Caenorhabditis elegans: one gene and its partners. The protein of the gene in region 1 purifies or fractionates together with the protein of each later gene. This does not show direct contact. Each region holds a gene or a part of one and is shown on either strand. Other genes may lie near its edges.

Region 1 (6,337 bases):
GAAGGTATCCTAAGCCTACTGAGTGGTAGTTTTTTTGGGCAAGCGTTAATTAACAATGAGAAATAGTAGAATAAATTGCAAGTTGTTGAAAGTTGATATTTGGTTGAGCAAACTAACCAAAAAAAATTTAATTAGATTTTTCTCGGTGATTTGAAAAAGTATATAACTAATTAGGTTTTAAATCTAGGATGCTGGTTTCAGGATCAGTTAGTTTTTTTTCTTATTTAAAATTTAAAAACTCTTCTGTAAAATATTTTTGAATAGTAACCCAAACTATAGCATTTTCAAAGATATAAGATATAAGATGAAAAAGATACAAAAACTGTAGAAATTGTTTGACATAGTTTGAAGAAAAAAAAATTGTGCTATTTCACAACGTTTATATGAAACAGGTGTATTTTCTCATTGTCAATAACTTGCCTTGTTCGAATGAGTATCTTTAGAAATGAACGTTAACGCAGTAAATCTGTGTAAAATTTTGAGTTGTAAGCAAAACGTATGAATTATAGCTCGATTGAACCTTTAGATTATTTATTTTCCAGAACGTTTTTACCTACTGTAATTTTTTGTGGCGTTTTCAAAAAATGATTCTTTGGCTCCAAACCACGCTAAATTCTTCTGGACCGGAACAAAACTTTCTGCAATCTTCTTGGAGATAAAAACCAAAAACATTTTCCGTTAAAAAATTTATTAAAAACATCGTCACTTGTCAATTGAACTCTCATATTTTTCAGATTGTCACGTTTGCAAATTTCAATATTTCTATTGGGTGCAAAGTACGCAAAGATCAAAATCGAAAACTTTGCGTGCACGTTATGCAAACTTTTTGAGCAGTTCGGGAGAAAATTGGCGAAAGGGGAAGCCCATCTGAAAATCAAAGAATCAATTGTGTTGAAAAGAGCAAAGATTGTTCCGAGTAAAAATTAAATATACTCTTTTAAATTTGGATTGGAGAGGCCGAAATGTGTCGGTAAATATTAGGGAGAACAATATATTCGGGTGGTGCTGACGCGGCGAATGTAACGAAATTTTGCTAGGAATAGCAGTGATTGGGAAGTCTGACAAGCACCCGACATCTACCTAGTTTTCAAACCCGATAGATGTCGGCCGCTGCAACTATGAAACATTTGGTATTGTATTTTTCTAATTTGAAGTCAAAAAATGTTGACCGCACAGTTTATTTTAATGAACTTGTCATTTTCAAATAATAGAAAAAAAAACGTTTTTAGAAGAAAATAATGATTCAACATTTTTTAAAACTATTACATTATTCGAAAAAAAATGTCGAAGTGAAATATTAGGTTTAAACATGTTTTCAAATTACTGGGGTCATTTTGTTTTTGCTTTGTTTGATATTTCATTTAAGTGGTAAATCGAAATCTATTTAAATATTTAAATTAAAGTGAAACTGCATCAATCCCAATATTATGCTTTCAAATAAAATTTTGATAACAATATTCTGAAACACTTGGAATATTTTTTCGGGTGCAAATTGAACTTTTCTATGATAAAACTGTATAAATCTAAAATTATGATTTATCAATTTATTTTGATAACAAAGAAACAAACATTTTCCGTGAACTTTTTGATCGAACGTTTTTTGGCACATTTTCCACGACGTTTCAAATTCATACGCAATATATAATTTATTTCCTGGACAAATCAACAATCAGAATGGTGAGTACTTTTTTTTCTAGAAAATCGAACAATTGAAGGTATGTTTCAGTTTTGCATTCTAAATTTTCTACTGCTCCCTCTGGTTGTCTTGGCTCAAGTTGGAAGCTCTTGTGATACAGGTAACGCTTATTTAAAAAAAAATTTCCAATTAGATATTTAGATAACTGTATTTCAGATGGAATCCCGAACCAATTCCACTGCAACATTAAAAATTTGAAACGTGACGCTCAGAACTACCTCGAGTGGCCTAACTGGTGTCAAGTGTTTCATGGAAATTTGCATTTGAGAGTGATTAATTTGAAAGCTGCAAATTTTGAGAAATTGGTAAGGTGACATGTATGTTGGTTTCTGAAAATGCAGCGTCCGACATCTTCCGGGCGCAGGCACTCTGTACTTTTTATCAAATGATGAAATTTCTCGAATTCTGTTCTAAGTGTTATCTATCTGAGTAATGTTGAATTTCTAAAATAAAGAATCTGAAACCGCATTTTTATTTTTTGCAGCGTGAAATCCGTGGAACCCTTTCACTAATCAATTCTCCATTCAATCGAATGCCTCAAATGCCAAATCTTGTCAGTATTAAAACTCATAATTCATTCCCTGGACTCGTTATTCTCAACAATACAAGACTCCGTGATATGCGTGGATTTGTGGATTGGAATAAGGATGTCAAGATTACGGGAAATGAATTTCCAGTTTTTATTTCTGGAAATCTGGAATTGGATACTGTTAACCTGCCAGAAATGTTCCACAAACCATATTCTCCACTTTCGTGTGAAAAGAGATTGATGCCAAATTATAATATTCAATTTGCAGAAGGTGAGAATTGAGAAAAATATATAACAAGAAAAAATATTATGCGGTTTCACATAGTTTTCATAAGGACTCAGTATTTAGTTTACTATTAGTTGAGTAGTTAAAATGAGCATAAGTGTACGTTTGTTTTCATAATAATCCAAACTATGACTTATGATAATTATGAACATTTTCATATTTACTATTTTTTTTTACTGTTTCAAATACACTACTCGCATCTGCCGTTCTTCGTTTTAGTTGATTTCGAAGCACGACAACCCATCAATTTCATTTTGAGAGTCACATTTACCATATCTAAATCAATTTTCAGGAATGTCGCTTGCTGCCGTCCTATTCACATTGATCATCTGTGCTACAATGTTCCTTCATCCATTGAGTATGGGAAGTACTAACGTCTATTTTGTGCCTGGATATCATAAATATTGAAATTTGCAATTATTTGGATAAATTATTGATTGTGTGTGTAATTTTTTATATTTATGATGTAGTAGAAAGTGATTATGCTTTAAAAAAAGTTGACAACCGTTTCAAGTTGTATATAAGTTTTCATGTACAAAAATTAAACTCAATATTTTGATACGAGATGGAAACTAATTCAGTGCATTTAAAACCCTGATATCTGAGCGTTTGGCTTAAAAATTATCTAAACTTACAAAACAGTGATAGTACAATAAAAATAGATACAACACTAAAATATTTCAAATTGAGCATTTATCGAAATTTCTTGCCACGTAATACTCCGCGTTTTGGAGATTTCAGCTAAAGCTGAGAAGTTTTACAGGGGTTATCACAAAATTAGTTTATTTGGGCACATTTCTAATAGTAAGTCACAGTACTTTAGTGGGTAACGTAGTAATAAAATATGAATTTGCCTAGTACTACATTGTAAGAACGTTTAAATAATATTTAACTTAAGGCGATATTTTTCCAGAAACGTTAACTATATTTTTGGATGGAACAAGGAAAGAAACTGTAACTGGAAAAATTTTCCGGTGTTTTTTTAATTTAACACCGAAACAGTGAAAAAATTGTTCTGAATTAATACGTTTTCAATTGAAAAAAACTTTTCTTCGGGAAAATGAGTCAGATGTTATATTAAACTTTAAAATTGATACAAACAAAGAAGTACCGATTCAATTGTTTTTCAAAAATATATAAGACCGTTCTGAAACAGAAAAAAATAAATCATGATTTTCTACATTCTTTTCCTGTTACCTCTGGTCTCCGGGCAATGGGGTACCCCTCCACCAATTGTCACTAATGAGCAATGTCAAGTGGAATACAAATCGATAATGAATTGTGTTAGGGTAAGTCATTGATTCAGGAGCGCCCCACATTTAGCAGGCTCTGGCTAAGACTAGTCGCATAGCCAACCCGCATGATGTAGGGTGCTGCTAATTTATTTTCAATCGTATGCCCTTTTCAGAATCCACGTCTTTTCACAAGAATTGATGAAATTCCCCGTCCTGAGAAATCAGAAAATCTTGCACTAATCGAAGAAGTCACTCACGTCCTAGATTGTTCTGGATTCTTAAATTGCAATAGTTCAAGAATTTTGCAGTCATATTTGTTCAATCAACGTTGGATTCTAGACGTACTTCATGGAAAACTGGAGCCATGTCTTGGGAATGGAGTTTTACGCAAGATTTTTGATTCTTGTGATCCTGCTCCAAGTTACAAGAATTTCAAGAAATTCGATGATGATGATTGCAATAGGATTACTGTGTACCTACCTTGCTTTGTGAACGAACTGAAAAACCAGCCAACTTGCAAAATCAGTGATGTAAATCTATTCAAACGAATGATTTTTGCAATGAGATCCGGTTGTGTGATGGGCCATCAAATGAAAATTGAGTTCGACAACTATGGAATTATTGAAAATTCATTTTAACTTAAATCTTGTTACAATAAATGTGTGCTCAATGCCATGCAATATATTTGAATTATTTAAACCGAAATACTAATGTTTACAATTAACTTGTTCATATTTTCAATAAGTTCAGTTTCTAACTTTTGTAATGATGAAAATTATCATGAGATTAATAAAAGGCGGTTTCAAATTACATTCATTTGGAAACTATACATGGATTTTTAATAAATCATTGTCAAATAATTTACTGTTTCATGATGTTAAAAAGTAAACGCCAAATGTTTATTATTTGAATTGCTTTATTTTTTAACCTTTTAAACTTTTTAAAACTTTATTTAACTTTATTTATTTATTTATTTGTTTAAACTTTATTTTTTAATTTTTAAACGCACATATTTAGGAGGCGCATTGTTCATTTGCTGACGTTGAAAATTACAAAGAATAGTGAATTCAGCATTCTAATGAAAAATTCCAGTTTGTCGATATTAACAGAGTTAATGAAACATGATGGGAAAATTTAATATTTTTAAATTGTTTCAGCACTATACAAAATGTGTCCAGCTTAAAACCAGCAGTACAAATGGTTATAGGTATTCATTAAATATTCAAGCATAATATAAAACGTTCTATAGAAAATTTCGGCTTGCCGTCGACGCTGTATATTTATTTTGGCTGAATATTTAAATTTCGTAAAACAAATTCCTCTTAAAAACCAGTAACAGGTAAGATTTAGATTTATTGAATAAACATTTTCAATTCAATATTTTTTGTGGCCTATATTTTTAAATTTTGTGAATTTTTAAAAAGTATAAAAATTCTTAAACTGTAAATTTTTATGGCTTGTGCACAATTGTCACTTTTTTTTAAATTAATGATCACTTCGAGAGAGTTTCACAACTAATTTTTATTATGTATAATATAATGTTCTATATTAAAAAATAACGTTTAAAAAGAATATGGTGTTTCACACAGCACCCGACATCTCATGGGTTAACTCACACAGTTTAAAGTAGAAAACCCGCAAGTTTTCCGGTGCTGGGAGCAATCATCAAGTTGTATCAATTTGCTAAGCGTGAATTATTAATTTTCGTAATTTTTTTAATCGAAAAACGAAAAATTAGATTTTGATTTTAATTATCAAAAAAAAAAAATGTTCCGTTTTATTATGTACTTTTAACCATGTAAGTTGAAAATTTTTTAATCCTGGGATCATATAAAAAAAATGAAGGAAATTTGACATTGAACTTCGACAACACTTTCAGCTCCGATTCAACCCAAAATTGAGTCTAGATTTTTTAAAATATCACTGATAAATTTTCGATTTCCCAGTAGATTAAAAATGAAGTTATTTAATAAAAAATACAGAAAAATACGTTTAGAAAATATTTTTACTCATAGTTTTCTGACTTGAAGTAGACCCTCAAGATGTCTGCTGCTGTAAACAAAAGTGCTCATCTTTTGGTTAATCAAAAAAAAAATTTTTTTTTTAATTTTCCATGTTTTATAAAAATCATGTTTCACTATGTGTTTTTATTCACCAACATAAAAATAAACTGATCAACAGAATTATAAGTTTTTTTTTCTTATAAGTTTTATATATTTTTTATTCTAAAAATTGAACAGTTTGACAACACTTTTTGCTCTGTTCCAGCCAAACGCCCGGTCAAAATATTTGTCTCCCCCAGGTGTTCAACAACCTGTCAAACATTGCACAGACTATTATTCTATTTATGTACTCTTTCACCTCCCCAGTAGCACTCAAATGCATACAAAATGTATCTCTAAGAAAAGGTGTGAAAGCCGTTCTCCCCGCCAGGTGTATTTATTTGTCTAACGGCTTATAACATTAGCCTGGAGACTTATGTTGACCCCTTCAATGCTTCAAAGTTCGCTTTTTAGTGTTCCCTCCGCTTTCTCTACCACTTGAACTCTAAAAAATGTTCTTATTTTTTCTGTTACCTGTATTCAGCCTGG
Region 2 (6,912 bases), on another chromosome or scaffold:
GATCCCGAAAAGAAAAAAGGCGAGGAAGTGATAAAGAACTTTATTTCTGAAGAATACAAAGTTGAAATTGATGCATTCAGGAGAGAACACAATCTATGGACTAAACAGAACAGTAATGTGAGTTTTTGTTGATAAGTGAGATACATATTATTCCAATAAATTGCAGACAACACTAATTAAAAGAAATGAAACAACATGTGATATGTACATGCGATGTCGTTCACAAATGCATTTGGCTGTTGATAGTTGTGCATGGAGATTTGCAAGTGATCAGTTACTGGCTACAATGGCTGAATCTGCTGAGAGCCTTTTGTATAAGGTAAGTTTCGATTCAAAATTGAATAGCTGTTCGGCAAAACGCCACAACTGCAAGGTAAATTCCAACAACTATAAAAATTAGTAAAACTTTGTAAAAAGCTCTTATTAGTGTTGCAAAACTTTGCCAAGGTCCTCTGAAAAGCTGTAGGAGTTTGTTAAATAGCTAAAATATTCAACTGTTTGTAAGCAATTGGCAGAGTGCGCTAAGAAGTTGGTCGGACTAGTTGGTTGTAATTCTAATTGATTAATTCTTCCAGGACGACGGAGTGTGCTCACAAAAAGATGGAGACAAAGTAATTGAGCTTTACGAGTATATGATTAAAAGAAATGATAAGCTCAGAATCTGTTTAGATAATAAGAACGAAAAATATGTAAGTTACACATATTCTGTATGAATCTCACTACAATTAACATTATTTTTCAGTTTGAAGATTCAGTTTGTCTTGCTTATCCTGAACACAAACGCCATGAATATGATGATTCTCTCCGGCGACTTTTGAATACATCGTTTGAATATTCAAAATCTAGAGAATGTTTCCATGATGCTAATTTGATTCAAGAGAAGTGTACACATCTCAGAGATTGTTGTCCGAACTTTGATGAGTATGATTTTTTGAGTTTCTGATTCTCTTTTAAAACTGAATTTTCAGATGCCGTGAAGAAACTTTCGAGGTTGAAGTGGAAAGAACAATTATCAGCTTGACAGCTACAATAAATGAGATCAAACAAGAATGTGTTAAGAGAAAAGCCAAAGAAGCTGTTAAGGTATCTTTTTTCTATATATTTTCGTTTGTTTTGTTATCGGTGAACTAACTCTCTTATTTTTCAGAATGTTGTTCGACAACTCCTTCTAAATACAGATGCTGGTCAAAAACTTCAAGAAATTGCGCAACTTGGTTTAGACATTTCTCGGGGAGCCCGAGTTGTTCGAATGGCCAAATACAGAGCATAATCTATAAAATAATCAAATAATACTGTTTTACATTCCAATTAACTTTGCCGGTTATCTCACTGGTGCCAATTTTGTTTATTGACTTTCCGGTTTCGCTTTAATCATTTCATTCATATTTTCACGAGTAATTTAATAATTAATAACTTATTAATTTTTAAAAAACAAATGAAATATTTTTTTAAGGTTTCGACTTATGAGTGGGAAAAGTTTCAGGAATCGATAGCATATTATTTACAATTTTCTAATATCACATTGTTTCTTTTCACTTCCACCAAATGATAATTCCAGTACAGAAAAGAAGATGAACAGTAAATCGTGTTCTATTCTCCAAATGGTCACTTCCATTTCTCTCTTTCTACAGTTGATACATTGCATTCCACACTTGTAACTGAAATGACATGCTAAATGCCAAAGAAAAGATGAATGGAAATGCCAAATGAACGTTCCCCTCACACGCCTTCTTTCTTCACTACTTTTTCTTTTCTTTTTCAACCATTTTGTGACGAAGAACTGTTTTCGAAAAGAAGTATTAATTCCTCAATTTACTTCGGTAATGAACTTATTAGTAACACGATAAGTTTTGGTTTTCAGGACAGTATGCTTAAATATCTTTTCTCGTTTTTTCTCGGGGCAAGAAATTTGAAGAAATATCAAACACATATAAGTTAATATGGGTTAGTTGAGCACTGAAGATTATTTTCATATTGCTGATGTATCTTCCAAAGTCCTTTCAAACCACTTTCAAAATATTTTTTTAATTTAATTTATTTTTTCATATCTTTTCACCACAAAAAATGGAGAGCATTGAAACTTTTCAGAAATAACTAATGAATTAAAAACTTATAATAAACATTATAATGTTGATTTTTAACCTCTCTCGTGAGAATAGTTTCATGAAAAACTATTTCATTTGGAACGGAAATGTTTTACATTTTTGTATTCCAGAAATATTAATTGTTTTTATTGTTCCATTAATCAAATCACCAATGTTCAAAATATTTTGAATATCCAATTACTTATCGTTCATCTCACAATTTTCACCGGTCTGCACCCTAACTCGAACAAGTTTAATTTAAAATGGAAAAAAAAGAAAGAAACGCAGAGAAAACAATGTTCAATTAGCACTGGAAAAGATCGTTTTCGGTTCTCGGCACGACGCTCGTTGATTGACGATGTTGAGGTGATAAGTGATAAAAAAGAGAAAAAAGAAGGCTTTTCCTCTTTGTATTCTTCTTGTTTCTCATTCACTCACTCACCTTCTCCCTCCTTTTACATTCGATTTTTTCTGCCAACCTTGATTAAAAATCTATCCCTTTCACTAGTTATCTATCATATCAACCATTTCTAGTAGTTCCTTCTTTACTTTTTCCCGTCATTCTACCAATTACCCTTTCGTTTACTTTTTCCATTTCTTTTCATAAAATCATTTTCAGACTTTTCAGAGAAATGTCAATACATCAGACGTCATTTCTATTGTTCACACTTTTCAGTTTATTATCATTTTCAATAGGTTTGTTTCGTTCAATCAAAACACAATAAAATGCCATAAAAACAGGTTCCCAGACCCATATTCAGTTTACACTAAACATAACAATACCCTTTTCACGTATATCTTTTTTTCAGCAGCCGACACATGCCGGGACTTTGATAATAATTGTAGAGATTGGATTACTGTCAATCCAAATGCATGTGATTCAACTGAATATATTAAAAGAAGTTGTCTCAAGAGTTGTGGACAATGTGGAGAGGTTGATCCCAGTAGGTTGTTTCTTTATTTAAAAATTAAAAACTTCAGCTATTACACTTTATTAAAACACTAATGATAGTTTTAAAAAAGTGGAATTCTACATAAAAAATTTTCAAGAAATGACGGAAGAATTTTCACATTAGAAATTCAATAAAATTGAGCAAACAATCTGGAAAAATATTTGAAAGGGTAGTATTTAACATAATATTAGACTTCAAAATAGTAATAAACATTTAAACTATTATATTTTTAAATTTGCAATTTCTTGTGGTTCTAAAACTTCTAAAAACATACTATTATTTCAGAATACGATTTACGTCGTCTTTCTCAGGAACTCACACCAATTGGTTTCCTAGTAGGGAAATGGAGATCTGAACATGGAGGAAAAGTTCGTTTTTGAAACTGTCCAGATTCTTAAATTTAATAAATCTAGGCAATCTTCCCAACAATTCCGAAATTCACATTTGGAGAAGAAATCGAAATTTCAATTCCAGGCGATGCAATGCAATCGGCTCAAGCTCTTAACTACACGTAAGAAAATAACTGAAATTATGCCATGCCTGCATGCCGCCTATTATTTGGTGGTTGTACGAGGCAGGTAGGCATGTTAACGTTCACGTGAAAGGTTTATTGGAAATATTGCCGTTTAGATGTTTCAGATTCAGAAAATATTTAAATTTAGAGCGTTCGCATGGAGTGTAGAAAAAAGAGATGAGAAGAATCCAAACAGGTTTTCATATGTCATTTTTTGTTTTTATTTATTTTCCAAAAAAACCTATTTTTTTGTTTCGAACTGTTGAGTGTTTTGTCTTGGGATTTTATTTTTGATTCTGTCAATTCTGGTGGCTCTTCTATTTTTTTCGGAAAAGTGTACTTGTAAAAGGGAATTGGTGACAATAGAAATCTCAATACTATCTTCAAAATGCTCCGAATTTTCAGAGCATTTGCCTGGTCGATAAATGATAAAGATGAGTTGCACAGTGAATATGGATATATTTCTGTGAAACCAAACACAAAAGAAGTCGCACTGACAACTGTAATGAATAATGGTTTTGTGACAGTCGAAGAAGGTCCAGTCAATGGAAATCAAATTAGATTCCGGCTTAAGGATATCGGAAGAATTAGTTTCAGCAGAGATTTGCCTGTTCATGATGTAAGTTTTTAGAATAGTGTTTTTGTGTGTAGTCATAACAATGAAAACCAACAACAAAATTCAAAAACGCTCTAATTTCACATAATTCAATCAAACTCAAAATTTAAAATATTCAGCTCGTCCGAGAATGGACTCTTCTGGATCGATCAACACTTCAAGCCCGTCTGAACATGGAGACATTAACACATGGAATGCAGGAGCACACATTTATTCGTTACAACAAAATTGAGCCATAAACTGAAGAAAAACGTGTTTATCTCTTTCTATTCCACTTCTAGTCAACTACTTCCCACTCAATTGATTCCCCCTTTCCCCTTAAAAATAAAAACTCTTGCTGCTTTTTATGAGTTTTCCTAAAAGCTGCTAAATATGTATATAGCACCATCTCAAGAGTCACTGTATAATAGAATAGTGAAAATAAATGAGCTGTGAAATGAGCCAAAATGAAAAAGAAAAAGAAAGCAAATGAAGTGAGAAAATGGATGCAAGAATTGACACTTTTATTGGCAATTCATGAGGATTCTAACGATGAGTGAAGATGAAAGAGTAGACTAGCGGAGAATAAGGTTTTAGAAGAAATTTCGATGGGAGTTGATGACATTTGTGATTTTTAAACTTAAATTTTAACTTATCGCTTAGTGATCTTTAATCATAACCGACTTTAGCAAGTTCATGAAAAAAGAAACTTTCGATCGGCATTCGATCATAATTTTTAGACATATTATAGAGCATTCTCGTGTCTCCCCATAGTTGTAAATATGCAACCAGATGTCCGTTGGTGCAATTTAGTTGCTCATCAAGTTCTCTATGTCCATTTCTATTCTGTTCAACCACTTCATTTCCCCTTTTGACATTTTTCTATCTGTGAGAGCTTCATCTCCCATCGTTTCCTCTTAACGTCTTCAGAAAGACAAATCGTTGCCAAATTCATCATTTTCGAGTGCCAGGCATCCAATAACCGAAAGAATGGGAGCAAAGAGTGCTTTTCAACGGAAATTAGAACCATTTTTCTGAAAGAAGTCTGCGCGAGATAAGCAAAGTTTTAAATTTTCATGAAAACCACAAGCGCGTATTTTGAGTTTTTCACAACTTTAGAAAAATTCAAAAAACGGATGCCAACGTTACAGGAAAATGCCGAAAATTCGAGAAACAATAATTTCCATGAACATTTAAAAATAATTTTTTCACGACCCATTTGTAATAGTGAATTAGTAAGGGTATTTAATCTGATACATTTCCAAAAAATAATGCAATGTTTGCCGAAAACTTGACGATTTGCCGTTCGCCTGAAAATACTGTATGATGACTGAAAAATTTCCCGTTTGCGAAATCTGTGATTCCTATAAAATTAGACTTCTAAATAAATTGGCATTTAAAATCATGATTAGAAGAAAACTAAACCACAAAGAATATGAAAACACACTTCTATAATTAATTTTTACAATTAGATATATGATTTCATAAAGCTGCAGTGCTGTTATTTTGATCTCAATCTATTTACAAAAATAACACTGAAAAGTACTTTATGCCTTGCAAGAAATGCTCAATTTCTGTGTATTCTACGCTTAAGCACCTTCTATTCAGCACCTACTCGGGAATTCTCCACCAAATCCATTCTCATTTTCTTCTTTTCTCTCTCAACTCGTCTTCAATCTCTTCACCTCGTCCACTATTTCATCCCCGGAGACTTGTTCCCCAGACGTCGTGCCTCCAATCGATCCATTTGTGGAGCCCGCGTCGTCCACAGAGCTTCTGCCGTTTCATCTCTGCGTCTCGTTCACCCATTAGACGTTGTGCTTCCTCCCTGCCTGAAAATAGCCCCACACAACATAGACTTGCTCTTCTTTCTTCTACTTTTTTTCTCATTCTTTTTTCTCCAGATACGCCTTTATTCAAATGACGTGTTTCTTTTTTTTGTCTGTTCAAAAACCAACAACTCATGATCATCAGATGATGATGGTCAAAAATCCCTTCCGGTTTTCCTTTTCTTCCCAAATTTTGGCTTGGACTTTTTTTGAATTATGACACCAAAACATGCAACGACGTATATATATGCAAACGTAGAATATCGAGTTTCAGAACCGAATCATTGTCGAGATTAAAAGGGAGGAAATTGATATGTGATGGAAATAGATTGAGGGCTGAATTTTTGAGATTGAAAAAACAATTGTATAATGTAAGTAGATAAAACAAAGCTGTATTGAATTTATAAATATCTAATACATTTTCTAATACAAAAATAAATTTGATTTTGTACTTTTCTTAAAAAGTGATCAGAATTTCCACTAGATGTTTTTGGCAACAATCACCTGATAATTGGATTAAAATTTGACAAAACTGTTTAAGTACAAGCGAACTAGATGAGAATTTCTACCTTTTTCTTTCAATTGAATATTTTCGTATTCTATCCCTCCGTGCTTTCATTTTCCATTGACGTTTTATGGTTCAATATATATCCTAAAAGTTTTCCTTACCCTTTCTCCTACTAGTTTCATCTCTTCTTCTAAATAATTAACATTTCTTTATTTAATTGATTTCTTTCCATTTCACGTCATTTCTTCATTTAGCACAACATTCTTCTTTTATTCCCATCCAATCGCCTTCTCCGTTCATTCCGGCCCCTTTTTCAGCTTCAAATTGAACAACAAAAACACATTGCGTGACGATAAAACTTCCAGTTCCCGTCTTCAAAACGTCATTCCGAGAGACTATTCGCCTGGAACCCTCGCCTTTTTTTCATTA
Region 3 (10,425 bases), on another chromosome or scaffold:
TTCTTTTTCTTTTCGTTTCTCTCTTCAATGCCATTGAAGCGGGGAAAAACCGACGACGACACACACCACACACACACAAACAACACATTGCATAGGCTATATCAAAAAATTATTAAAAATGTTCTTTTTTTTTTGATTCTTATAAAATATTTGTGATTCTTTCCCATGTAAAATTCCGTTTGAACTTAATTAGTGTTATCTAAAATGGTCTCTGATCTTTGATAGTGTCTCTTCAAAAAGAGGGTTGTACGGCAAATGTTCTCTTTTCGATATGGTTGTTTTAGATAAAAAATTAATATAATGTAGAATAATATTTAGTCAATTTGAACACAATTCTTGTTTTGATTGAATTTTTTTAAAAGTATCTAAAGACTGAAAGTTAGTCACTGCTGAAAAAATGGGTCAAAGTTTTGGCAAGTTTCGGTAGTTGGGCTCTATTTCAAACAAAATTTAGGATTATTTCCAGAGAGTTTTCGAATTTTTCAAATTGCTTTTGCTTTCATAAGTTTGCTTATTGCAGAGAAATCAGCAATTTTGTAGATTTTCCGCACACCCTAAATATCAGGTTCGACAAATTTTAAATGTTCTATTTTCAGCAACACGTTTGGATCAATTCTTCATCTCTCATTTGAACAAAAAATTTATTTTTCATCCTAAAATCTAATTTCAACAAAATAACTATCGTTTTTTTCCTTCCAGATGAATTACTAATTTCACTCTAGTTTTTGCAGAATTTTTGCACTTTCAGTTAATTCATTCATATTAAATTGATCTCTATAATTGCAAATGTCATTTTCTAATCATAATCCCATTAATTTCTGAAACTTGATTACGTAGAATGCATAAACTTTAAGTTGGCAGTCCAAATACACATGCAAATGTAAATTCGACCCTTTCTCGCCCATCTGCATTTTTCATTTGAGGTCATTTTACTTTTGTGACCAACTTTGTGTTCTCTGTGGTCTTTTACTCTTTTTTCGTGATGATAATTATAGTTATAGCAAAAAAAACAATTATTGTGACAAGCTGTGTCCAACGTTTTTCATAAATGTTCCTATAACTTTTGCTCCTGGGGTTCGGAAAGTAATCAAATATTTTTAAATATGATTTGTGTGTGAACTCTAGAAAACTTTTAAATTATGCTGTCAGATGCAGAATTTTCATTGACTAGCAAAAACACAAGTCGAATGCAAACTTGATTTTAACTCTAAAAAATAGTATGAAGAATTTTTTCTATTCACTTTTCCATCGTGGGTGCAAAACGGCAAAACAACCAAGATGTGGGCGGAACCATTACACCCTTTTAAAAAATAAAACTAATTTTGGTGAATATTTTAAAATAGATTCGAAAATATTTTGAAAAATACAAAACATTAAAAGATAAATGTATTACTTTTCTGAAAAAATTCCGATGAAAACAACTAATGAACTTGTTTTCATTTTGAGCTTTTCAGTTTCAAGTATTAAGATTTGAAATTCCTAGTTTTAATTTCTGGCCAGTGAACTTTTCTTTCATATTTCGTTTGATGTTTAGTGTATCACTGGTTTTTTTGCAAAATGTTTATTTCTAATTGATTTGAGTTTCTTTAAAAGCAGAAGTGATTAATTTAGGTTATTTTAAAAGCTTCAAGATATTTATTCTTAATATTTATCGCTAGAAACTAAATTTATACAGGCCCCATCATTCCTCTCGTTAATATTTTGTTGATTAGCTTGGTTAGTTTTCTCTTCGTTAGACGAATTCCCCAAATCTAGGTACCTAGAAGCAGTAGAAGTGTTGTTTTGATATTTCCTGTTTATATCTTCCATTTCTCTTACTTCTCACTCTTCTCATTCCTCTAACTTCTGCTTGTTGTGTTCTTGTGTTCCATTTGATTCTGCTCTTGCTCACCGGAGCCACGGCAGCAAATGCAACAAAAGAAAGGAAGAAAAAACGAAGCACACACGCAAAACACATGGCATATTTTCACTTTTGCATCGTTGTCTCTTTCTCTTTCCTTCTTCATCTTCCTTCTTCTTGCTTATGGCTCATGACACCACACCACTTGTGCTCTCTTGGCAGGAAAGCCTGAGCTCACAACTTCTTCAAGTTTTCAGAATATTGTTGGATGGAGAGAAAAGGGAAAGGGGATTTCTGAAAATGATCGGAGGTGAATAGAGTTGGTCAACAAATCTTTCTTTCTCTAGAAGACTTTTCATTTTGTTTTTTATTCTGTTTGCTATGTTGTCCTCTTTTTTGTGCTGTGCTTCTTCTTTTTCTTCCTCTCCTTCTTGTTCTCAACCTTCCAAGCGGTAATGGATTTCTCGTTTTCATTTCCTTTTCTGCAAGATTCATGTGATAATTTCTGTTTTTCCATGTCTCTTTTTTTCGCAGTCTTCATTCCAAATTTTGTATAATCTTCTGATTTCTTTTATTAAAGCCTAAGATCTCAAAACTTAAAACTCAAGATCTTCCTAATGACTTTGTCTTGTGAAATTCTATTATTTGTCATCATTCTCTTGATACTCAGTTATTAGAACTCTTATAGTTAGCCAATTTGTGAGTCATCCTCTAAACATGAATAAATTTGAAAATATTGTCATAATTTCGAAGTTTTCATGGATTTATTTAGATTAATCTTTTAAAGATTGAAAATATTTTGACAAGCTCCTTTAAGTTCGAATTTCAGAAGAATGCAAAATTACTTTTTTTTTGGAAAATTAAACAACTACTAGATTTAGTTTTGAAAACTAATATGTAAATTATTAGATCTGCAAAAATTGAGTTTGTTTTTTCAATATTTTGTTTTCACTCTATTCTCTTCTGCTCAGTCGATTTCACTTATAACCTTGTTATGCCTACGTGCATATTTGCAAAACCTCATTTCGTGCAATTTTTATTTTTCAGGTGATTAAACCCGAAGAACACAAAAAATAGGCAGAAGGCATACATATATAGAAAAAATGGAAGATATATTGATGCCTGAAGGAGAGAAAGTTTCCATGGAGAACTTTGCTCTCCTCAGAGTTCTTGGAAAAGGAGCATATGGAAAAGTATTCCTTGTGCGAAAAGTTGGTGGAAAGGATCATAATACTATATATGCTATGAAAGTGTTGAGAAAGACCAGAGTGAGTTATTTTTGGAAAAGAAATGAATTTAAAAATAATAATTTCTCATTTATACGGTGCTGAACCTTTGTATTATTATTTGTTTTTTCATCTCTCGCCAAGAGCGAAAAAACCGACAATTGCCGGAATTCATATTCTTGAAATGGTTTTGAACTTTTCGAAACAAATAACTGGATTGAAAAATTTTTGAGAGATGGGAAAGTGAGGTGAAATAAAGTTTATAGATTAGTATTTTAATATGAAACGAAAAAAAAACAAATTTGATTGCAGGTGCTCACAAAACAAAAAACCCTGGAGCACACAATGGCAGAGCGTCAAGTACTTGAACGTCTACGTGGAACACCATTTCTTGTCAATTTGTTCTATGCTTTCCAAACTGATACCAAATTGCACATTGTAATGGAATATGTGAGAGGAGGAGAATTATTCACACATCTTTGCTCGAGAGGTCATTTTGATTTAGAAGCTGCTAGATTTGTAATTGCTGAACTTGTGGTTGCAATTGATAGTCTTCATCAAAGAAAAGTTATTTATCGAGATTTGAAGCTTGAGAATATTTTATTGGACGAAGAAGGACACGTTAAGTTGACAGATTTTGGATTAAGTAAATTGTTTCTACCCGGAGAGTTGGATAGAGCCAATTCATATTGTGGAACTATTGAATATATGTGAGTTTTGAAATTTCCAGCCAAAGTTTAGGCACACTGCCAAACGTATTTGGAATTAAAAAAAAAAAGAACTTATCAAACCTCAGAATTATTTGCATGTCAATAATTTAAACATGATTAGAATATACAATTCGTAGTTTTTGATGTAGTTCCAAAATTAGGATTAACAAAAACTGGGTAATTGCTACTTTTTGGTTGTATATTAAAAGGTATCATTTTTTGTTGAAAATTATTGATCATTGATATTTGATTATTGAGCTATTGAATTTTTTCATTGAGATTTTCATATAATTCTTTACAAACGAAAATTGGCACAGACGGCTGTGTAAAAGTAATTTCTGAATAGATAAGAAATAAATTCTCAAGTTTAATGATTCCAGGTCGCCAGAAGTAATCAATCGCCCTGAAGGAGGATACAGTGATGTTGTCGATTGGTGGTCTTTGGGTGTAATTTCATTTGAATTGCTCACTGGATGCTCACCATTTACTGTAGATGGAGCACAAAACTCTAGTAAAGATATTGCCAAGTAAATCATTTCCTCATTTTCTTTATAATTTCTTCGAGTTTTAGACGAATTATGACAAAGAAGGTCCCTTTCCCAAAAACTATGGATGTTGATGCTCGCGATTTCATCGGCCAATTGTTGGAAAAGAAACTTGAAAAACGTCTCGGATACAATGGAGTTGATGAAATTAAAAATCATAAATTTATGTCAAGTATTGACTGGGATGCAGCTGTTAAGCGTACATTGAAGCCAGTGATTGTTCCAAGAATTGGACATGATTTGGATACACAGTTCTTCTCAGCTGAATTCACTTCTCAGCCACCATTATATTCTCCTGCAGAGTCACCATTAAATGCTAATACTCTGTTTAGAGTGAGTTTTTTCTTAACTTGGCAGGCACCGATTGCCGGATTTTGAGCCGAATTCCGAAATATGTTTGACAAAAATAAATTTCCAGAAGAAATTATGTGATTACAGGGATACTCATATGTCTCCCCATCTGTTATATTTGCCAATGACAATGTTATCGGTGAAGAACTAATGGCTGAAGATGTCAATGCACTTCTCGCGAGTTCTTCATTTTTTGCCAAGTACAAACTAGACAAGTCGGACGCTGGTCTTTTAGGAAAAGGAGCTTTTTCGGTGGTCAGGTAAATTTTTATATTTTCATCAACATTTCATGTGCTGGAACTATTTTCTAGATTCGAAAATCTCGAAAAAGTTCAACAAAACGTTATTTTTACATAGTTTTAAAGATAAAATATACAAATTCAGACGATGCGAACGCGTAGTTGACGGAGCCCAGTTTGCAGTCAAAATCGTATCACAAAAGTTCGCAAGTCAGGCTCAACGTGAAGCACGAATTCTTGAAATGGTTCAAGGACATCCGAATATTGTTCAACTTCATGATGTACATTCGGATCCTCTTCATTTTTATCTCGTCATGGAGATTCTGACTGGAAATGAGCTGCTCGAGAGAATTCGAAAATTGGAACGATTTACAGAGGTTAGAATTCTTTTAAGCATTTCTTTAATTCGGAGTTACTCTGAAAATTAAATTTTTAGAGTGAAGCAGCAGACATCATGCGGCAGTTGGTATCAGCTGTGAAATATCTTCATGATAAAAGAATTGTTCATCGAGATTTGAAACCAGAGGTGAGTTTCAATGATCAGATTATGTTAAGTGGCTGCAAAATAATACAAAACATAAGAATAAAATACTTCCAAAAAGTGAAACAAATTAATAATTAAAGGTGGAGTATACTCGAGTAGTTAGAAAATTATGACGCAATTTTTAAAAAAACGGGCACAGTTATTCTTATTCCAGAATATTCTATTTGAAAGTATCGATTCAAGTGCCCGCCTTCGTCTAGTCGATTTTGGATTTGCACGTCTACTTCCAAATTCAATGGAACAACAACTGAAGTCTGTTCAAGTTCTGCGCAAGATGTACGGTCTCATCGCACACAATCATTCACTCCACTCGGAGTAACATTTAGTCTAGTCAAAAGTTATTGTGTTTTGTCTTTTTTCACTCATTATTGGGCATATTTTTGTTTTTTTTTCTTAACTGGGAGCATGTGTCTCAAGCTGAAAATTTAAAAGAACAAATGTTCGAAAAAAGTTACTTTTGGTAGAGAGGAAGACGGTGGTGTGTGATGTTTCGTGCATTCTTGTTACAGATTATCTTCTTTTTCTATCCTTTTAAACCTTTCTTTTCACTTATCTCTACTAAGGGTTTCTTTCTTGATTTCAGAGATTTTTGAAGAAACACACTCATTCTCTGACTCTCACTTGATTTTCAAGACAAAGCTGTTTACTAACAATTCACAAACACTCACATTAAGTTTCTCAAATTTTCTGTAAACTTGAGAGTTAGAGAATGCCCAATTCATCTTTGAATAACGTTTGTTTTCACTAATAGCTTCTATATATTTGCCTAACTCTCACTATGAAATTCTTCAATCATAATTACAGGACCCCCTGCTTCACACTACAGTATGCTGCTCCAGAAGTTTTAGATGTTGGAGATTCTCAACCAGAATACAACGAACAATGTGATTTATGGTCACTTGGAGTTGTACTGGTTAGTTGTATAATTTTGTAATAATTTAATGTTTCAAAAATCGAAGTAAAAATTTTGAGAAAAAACAAAAAGACCCCTCAAATTTAAGAAACGATTGATAATCGATAAAAATCACGAAATGGAAGCATGCAACTACAGTACCACATCGTGAAAAATTTTTTGGACGCATTGAGAACCCTGGTTATTAGAAATTCATAAGAAATATTTTAAATTGTGTGGCACATTTTCTACGAATAAATTTTTCAGTTCACAATGCTATCGGGTCAAGTTCCATTCCATGCACGTTCTCGTCAAGAATCGGCAACTGAAATAATGCAGAGAATTTGTAGAGCAGAATTCTCATTCACAGGAGACGCATGGACAAACGTGTCAGCAGATGCTAAGAATTTAATAACCGGTCTTCTTACTGTGGATCCAAAGAAACGTCTTTCAATGCAAGAGCTTACAGCTCATATGTGGCTCAAGTCTTCGGCTTCAATGGATACACCACTTCAAACTCCTAGTATTCTGCCATCATCAGCAGGTAGTTAAACTGATGTTATTGAAAATTGAATAACCTAATCTTTTGACTTTTCAGATGAAACATTCAATGAGACACTGCGCGCATTCCTCCACGCTAATCGTGATGGATTCCATCTTCTCGATGTTGCTGCTGCTCCTCTCATGAAACGACGCGGAATCAAAAGACAATCTGGGGACAAGGATGCTTCTGGAAACTCGAAAAAGTGAGTTCAAGAACCCTAATATTTGAAACTCCTCCAATTTGGGGTACGGTTTCAAAGTGCACAAGAAACACCACATTTGACGACATTTCTCTAAAATTTTATTTTTTAGTTTTTAAGTTTGCAAATAATTGTAAATTCCTTATTTTATACTATTTAGAACGTCTATTCAAATATTATATTTATGAAATTATTAATAATAATTATTTTCTAAAAAAATATGATACTTCTAATTTTGATCGCATTGTGAACATTTTCGTTTCTGAAAATATACTTTCATTTTCAACAATTTATGTCATTTTCCAGTTCGCGAGTTACCCAATTCGAGTGTCTTCCGGAAGAACAAGAAGCAGAGATGACATCATCAACATCCCGTCCAAGCAATTTGGGAATGATGAACTATCGAGAACCAAATTCTGGAACAATCCGAGAAACTCGTGGCTCAGACTCCTCCTAGACCTTTTTCTTTGTTTCTTTTAATTTTTCTTCCTTTCTGTTCCTGTTTCTCTCACTGTTTGCGTTGTGATTCTTTCGTCCTAGATGCTTTCTAGTCTGTACTCTCTCATTATTCTCACTATTTTACAAATTTTCCGTCACCTGACACTTGTGGCATTGCCTTCTCTATGAGTACAGTTGCTGAAATGTTCATTGAACCTGTAGTGATTGTCATTTGTTAGATATTTCGCATTTCTAGTCAATCCTCTACCAATTTTGAAAAATATTGTGATTCGTGCATTTCATTTTATGTTATTATATCTAGTCTCATGTAAATTTCTAATTTTTTATAATCATTTTGTTAGATACACATATCTTTATTCATCCACCTATCCCCATGTAATCTTTTCATTGTCTCCAGTGACTCCCTGAACTCTTGAACCATTTCCAGAAATTCTTCCATGTTTTGCGATGAGCATGATTGACTTGCCAATCGACTTTTTGAAAGATTAATAAAATTAAGTAATTCGTTTTACATATTTATTTTGGAGAAGGTTTGAAAGCTCCGAATCATAATATCGATTGAAGCATCAACGTGAAAACCTGATGTAATGTGAGAAAATAAAATATGGAAGTGAAAGCATTTTAGAGAATATTTTTAGCGATAAGAGCTTGGTGAAGACGGTGAAGTGGCAAACCAACCACATTCGGCATACATCCTTCGATTCCACGAACGAAGACAGCGCCAAAGTCACCGATTCCATATGAACCTGCTTTTTTCCTGAAATTTCGATTTACTAGGTCAGTTATTCGTGTTTTTTTATTGGAGTTTTCAAATGTCGTGATGAAAATGATGAAAAACGTGATGAAAATTTTAAAAATCCCTCAAGTTTTGCAGCTCTTTCAAATACTCATAAAATGTTCAAAATTTCTTGACCGCCAATTTTTCTTTCATTTTTATGACTTTAGATAAGAAATTCAATTCCAAAAATTTTGATAACTTTCAATCAATAAATATTTCCATAACTTTTTTTTGCTAAAAAAAACTAACAATGGCTCTCCGCTTTTTACATATTCGTCGATAACTCTATCAGGAATATCTCCAAAATGAACAATTGTTTTCTCGATGATCTCTTCATATTGATCAGTTTCATGATAGTGTAGAGCCATTCCAGTATATACATTATGAGTATTGTTACGAAGTCTGAAATTAATTTATACAATTATGATGTTGAAAATTTAATTACCTTTTCAAAGTTTCTTTAGCGTCATTGGCATCTGTTGGTTTTCCAATAATTTCTCCATTGAATTCGATTACTGTATCACACGCAATAATAACAGAGTACGGCTCCTTAATAATTCATATATTAATATAATATCTCAGTTTTTATAATTTCAATTTTAGATTTTAAAAATATGGTAGCAGGTCTCGATATGCTGCAGCACTCTGAAATTTTGCGCAAAAAGTTTTAGGTCGCGTCGAGAAATGTTGCCGTATTTTTTTTGTTGAATTCCGATTTGTTTTTCAACTAATAACTATATTCTCAAGTTACTGAAAAAATAACTATACCTCTTTTCTTTTCATTTCTTCCACAATAGTCGTCAATTTTCCTTTAGCTGTTTCAATGACAAACTGCTTAACTGGCAATGTTTTTGGTAGATTTTCCTCGAAATTTGAAACTTTTACGATTACATTTTCCAATCCCTGAAACCGAAATAAATCTTTCTTTTTGTAGATTCTCATTTTCTCACAATTTGCTGCAACAATTTGAGTCGATTTGGTGACTGACTTGCCAATACAATAATGGCTTCTTTCATTCCGAACTTGCCGTCGTGGGCGAAACACGTGGATCTGAAATTTCGATCGGCTCTTGTGCTCAGTCAATTATTCACAAAAAGTTGGGGACATCCGGATGTAATTAAACAGTACGTTTTGTTTTAATTGAGAAATTGAGAAACTAATAGATAATTAATTATTGTTATTATTATTTTAGAATGGCAAAATATCGCAGAGATGTCATGTCAAAGAGGCTTGTGATGGATTATGTGAAAGAACTTAATCCCAAAATCGACATTGTGAAGGTAAATTTTAATTTCTCAAAAACATTTTTCAATAATAAATAATTCTCAGAAATATTCAAAAAATGGCGTAACTTCATACGAGGGATTTTTCGCAAGTCCTCATGCCACTCTCTTTCCCAATCATATGCCAGGAAACGTCGGTCGAGCACATTTCAGAGCATATCTTCCTCAGAAACCAGGCCCCGTATGCATACATTTGGCAGGCACCGGAGATCACTCTTATTTTAGGTAAGAAAATTGAAAATTTATTTTAAAAAATACGGTACCTGGTCTCGGCACGACAAATTTTTTTGTACTTTAAAACTCGCTGCAGAGTTTTTAACTTACAGTTTCCTTTAAAGGCGCACACCTTTTTGCATTTAACAAAATTCATCGTGTCGAGACCGGATACCGTATTTTTGTCACAAAGATCGAAAAAGTTTGCGTCTGAATAATACATATTTAATCTAAAAAGAGAAAAAAACTCAAAAACTGAGATAAAAAGTATCGCATCTTACATAGATGCATAAATCGAATAATGATTCTTATCAGAGACCACAAAAATTTCGAAAAAATGCAAAAAAATCAAAACTGGTATCATAGATCACTATTATTTCAGACGTCACTATCTTCTTGTTGATGACATGCTTAAGGATGGTGTGGGATCTATTTTAATTCAAAATCCATTTTATGGAGATCGAAAACCACCGAATCAATTCCGTTCTTCTCTTGAAAATGTGACGGATCTTTTTGTGATGGGTGCCGCTTTAATTGCAGAATGTAATCATCTTTTCAATTGGTCTGAGACACTTGGATATGGTCCATTTGCAATTTCTGGT

Evidence for each region.
Region 2: the proteins of ule-2 (region 1) and C15F1.1 fractionate together in Caenorhabditis elegans (co-fractionation; one large-scale study listed by BioGRID). This does not show direct contact.
Region 3: the proteins of ule-2 (region 1) and rskn-2 fractionate together in Caenorhabditis elegans (co-fractionation; one large-scale study listed by BioGRID). This does not show direct contact.

Annotation. Positions count from the first base shown.
Region 1 is NC_003282.8:14,631,451-14,637,787, forward strand, and holds ule-2 (Uterine Lumin Expressed/locailized), read left to right. Parts: upstream 1-3,675; 5' UTR 3,676-3,680; coding exon 3,681-3,800; intron 3,801-3,919; coding exon 3,920-4,384; 3' UTR 4,385-4,574; downstream 4,575-6,337. Other genes in the region: irld-4 (Receptor L-domain domain-containing protein), read left to right, coding at 1,675-1,677, 1,727-1,796, 1,853-2,001, 2,181-2,496, 2,804-2,919; srlf-27 (SXP/RAL-2 family protein Ani s 5-like cation-binding domain-containing protein), read left to right, coding at 6,301-6,337.
Region 2 is NC_003280.10:6,987,177-6,994,088, forward strand, and holds C15F1.1 (ShKT domain-containing protein), read left to right. Parts: upstream 1-2,703; 5' UTR 2,704-2,716; coding exon 2,717-2,780; intron 2,781-2,893; coding exon 2,894-3,028; intron 3,029-3,080; exon of another isoform or gene 3,081-3,185; intron 3,186-3,322; coding exon 3,323-3,405; intron 3,406-3,450; coding exon 3,451-3,548; intron 3,549-3,699; coding exon 3,700-3,747; intron 3,748-3,956; coding exon 3,957-4,170; intron 4,171-4,286; coding exon 4,287-4,406; 3' UTR 4,407-4,511; downstream 4,512-6,912. Other genes in the region: C15F1.2 (uncharacterized protein), read left to right, coding at 1-117, 167-319, 576-689, 743-921, 969-1,083, 1,148-1,270.
Region 3 is NC_003279.8:8,011,525-8,021,949, forward strand, and holds rskn-2 (Ribosomal protein S6 kinase), read left to right. Parts: upstream 1-2,885; 5' UTR 2,886-2,943; coding exon 2,944-3,108; intron 3,109-3,378; coding exon 3,379-3,776; intron 3,777-4,156; coding exon 4,157-4,303; intron 4,304-4,347; coding exon 4,348-4,654; intron 4,655-4,759; coding exon 4,760-4,932; intron 4,933-5,056; coding exon 5,057-5,288; intron 5,289-5,347; coding exon 5,348-5,437; intron 5,438-5,609; coding exon 5,610-5,731; intron 5,732-6,259; coding exon 6,260-6,368; intron 6,369-6,614; coding exon 6,615-6,894; intron 6,895-6,945; coding exon 6,946-7,093; intron 7,094-7,396; coding exon 7,397-7,547; 3' UTR 7,548-8,056; downstream 8,057-10,425. Other genes in the region: dod-18 (Nucleotide PPase), read right to left, coding at 8,171-8,306, 8,577-8,729, 8,773-8,876, 9,096-9,230, 9,278-9,343; C54G4.7 (AB hydrolase-1 domain-containing protein), read left to right, coding at 9,330-9,451, 9,520-9,607, 9,657-9,835, 10,206-10,425. UniProt on the Caenorhabditis elegans protein: Serine/threonine kinase that may play a role in mediating the mitogen- and stress-induced effects on transcription. May repress transcription via phosphorylation of 'Ser-1' of histone H2A. May phosphorylate histone H3.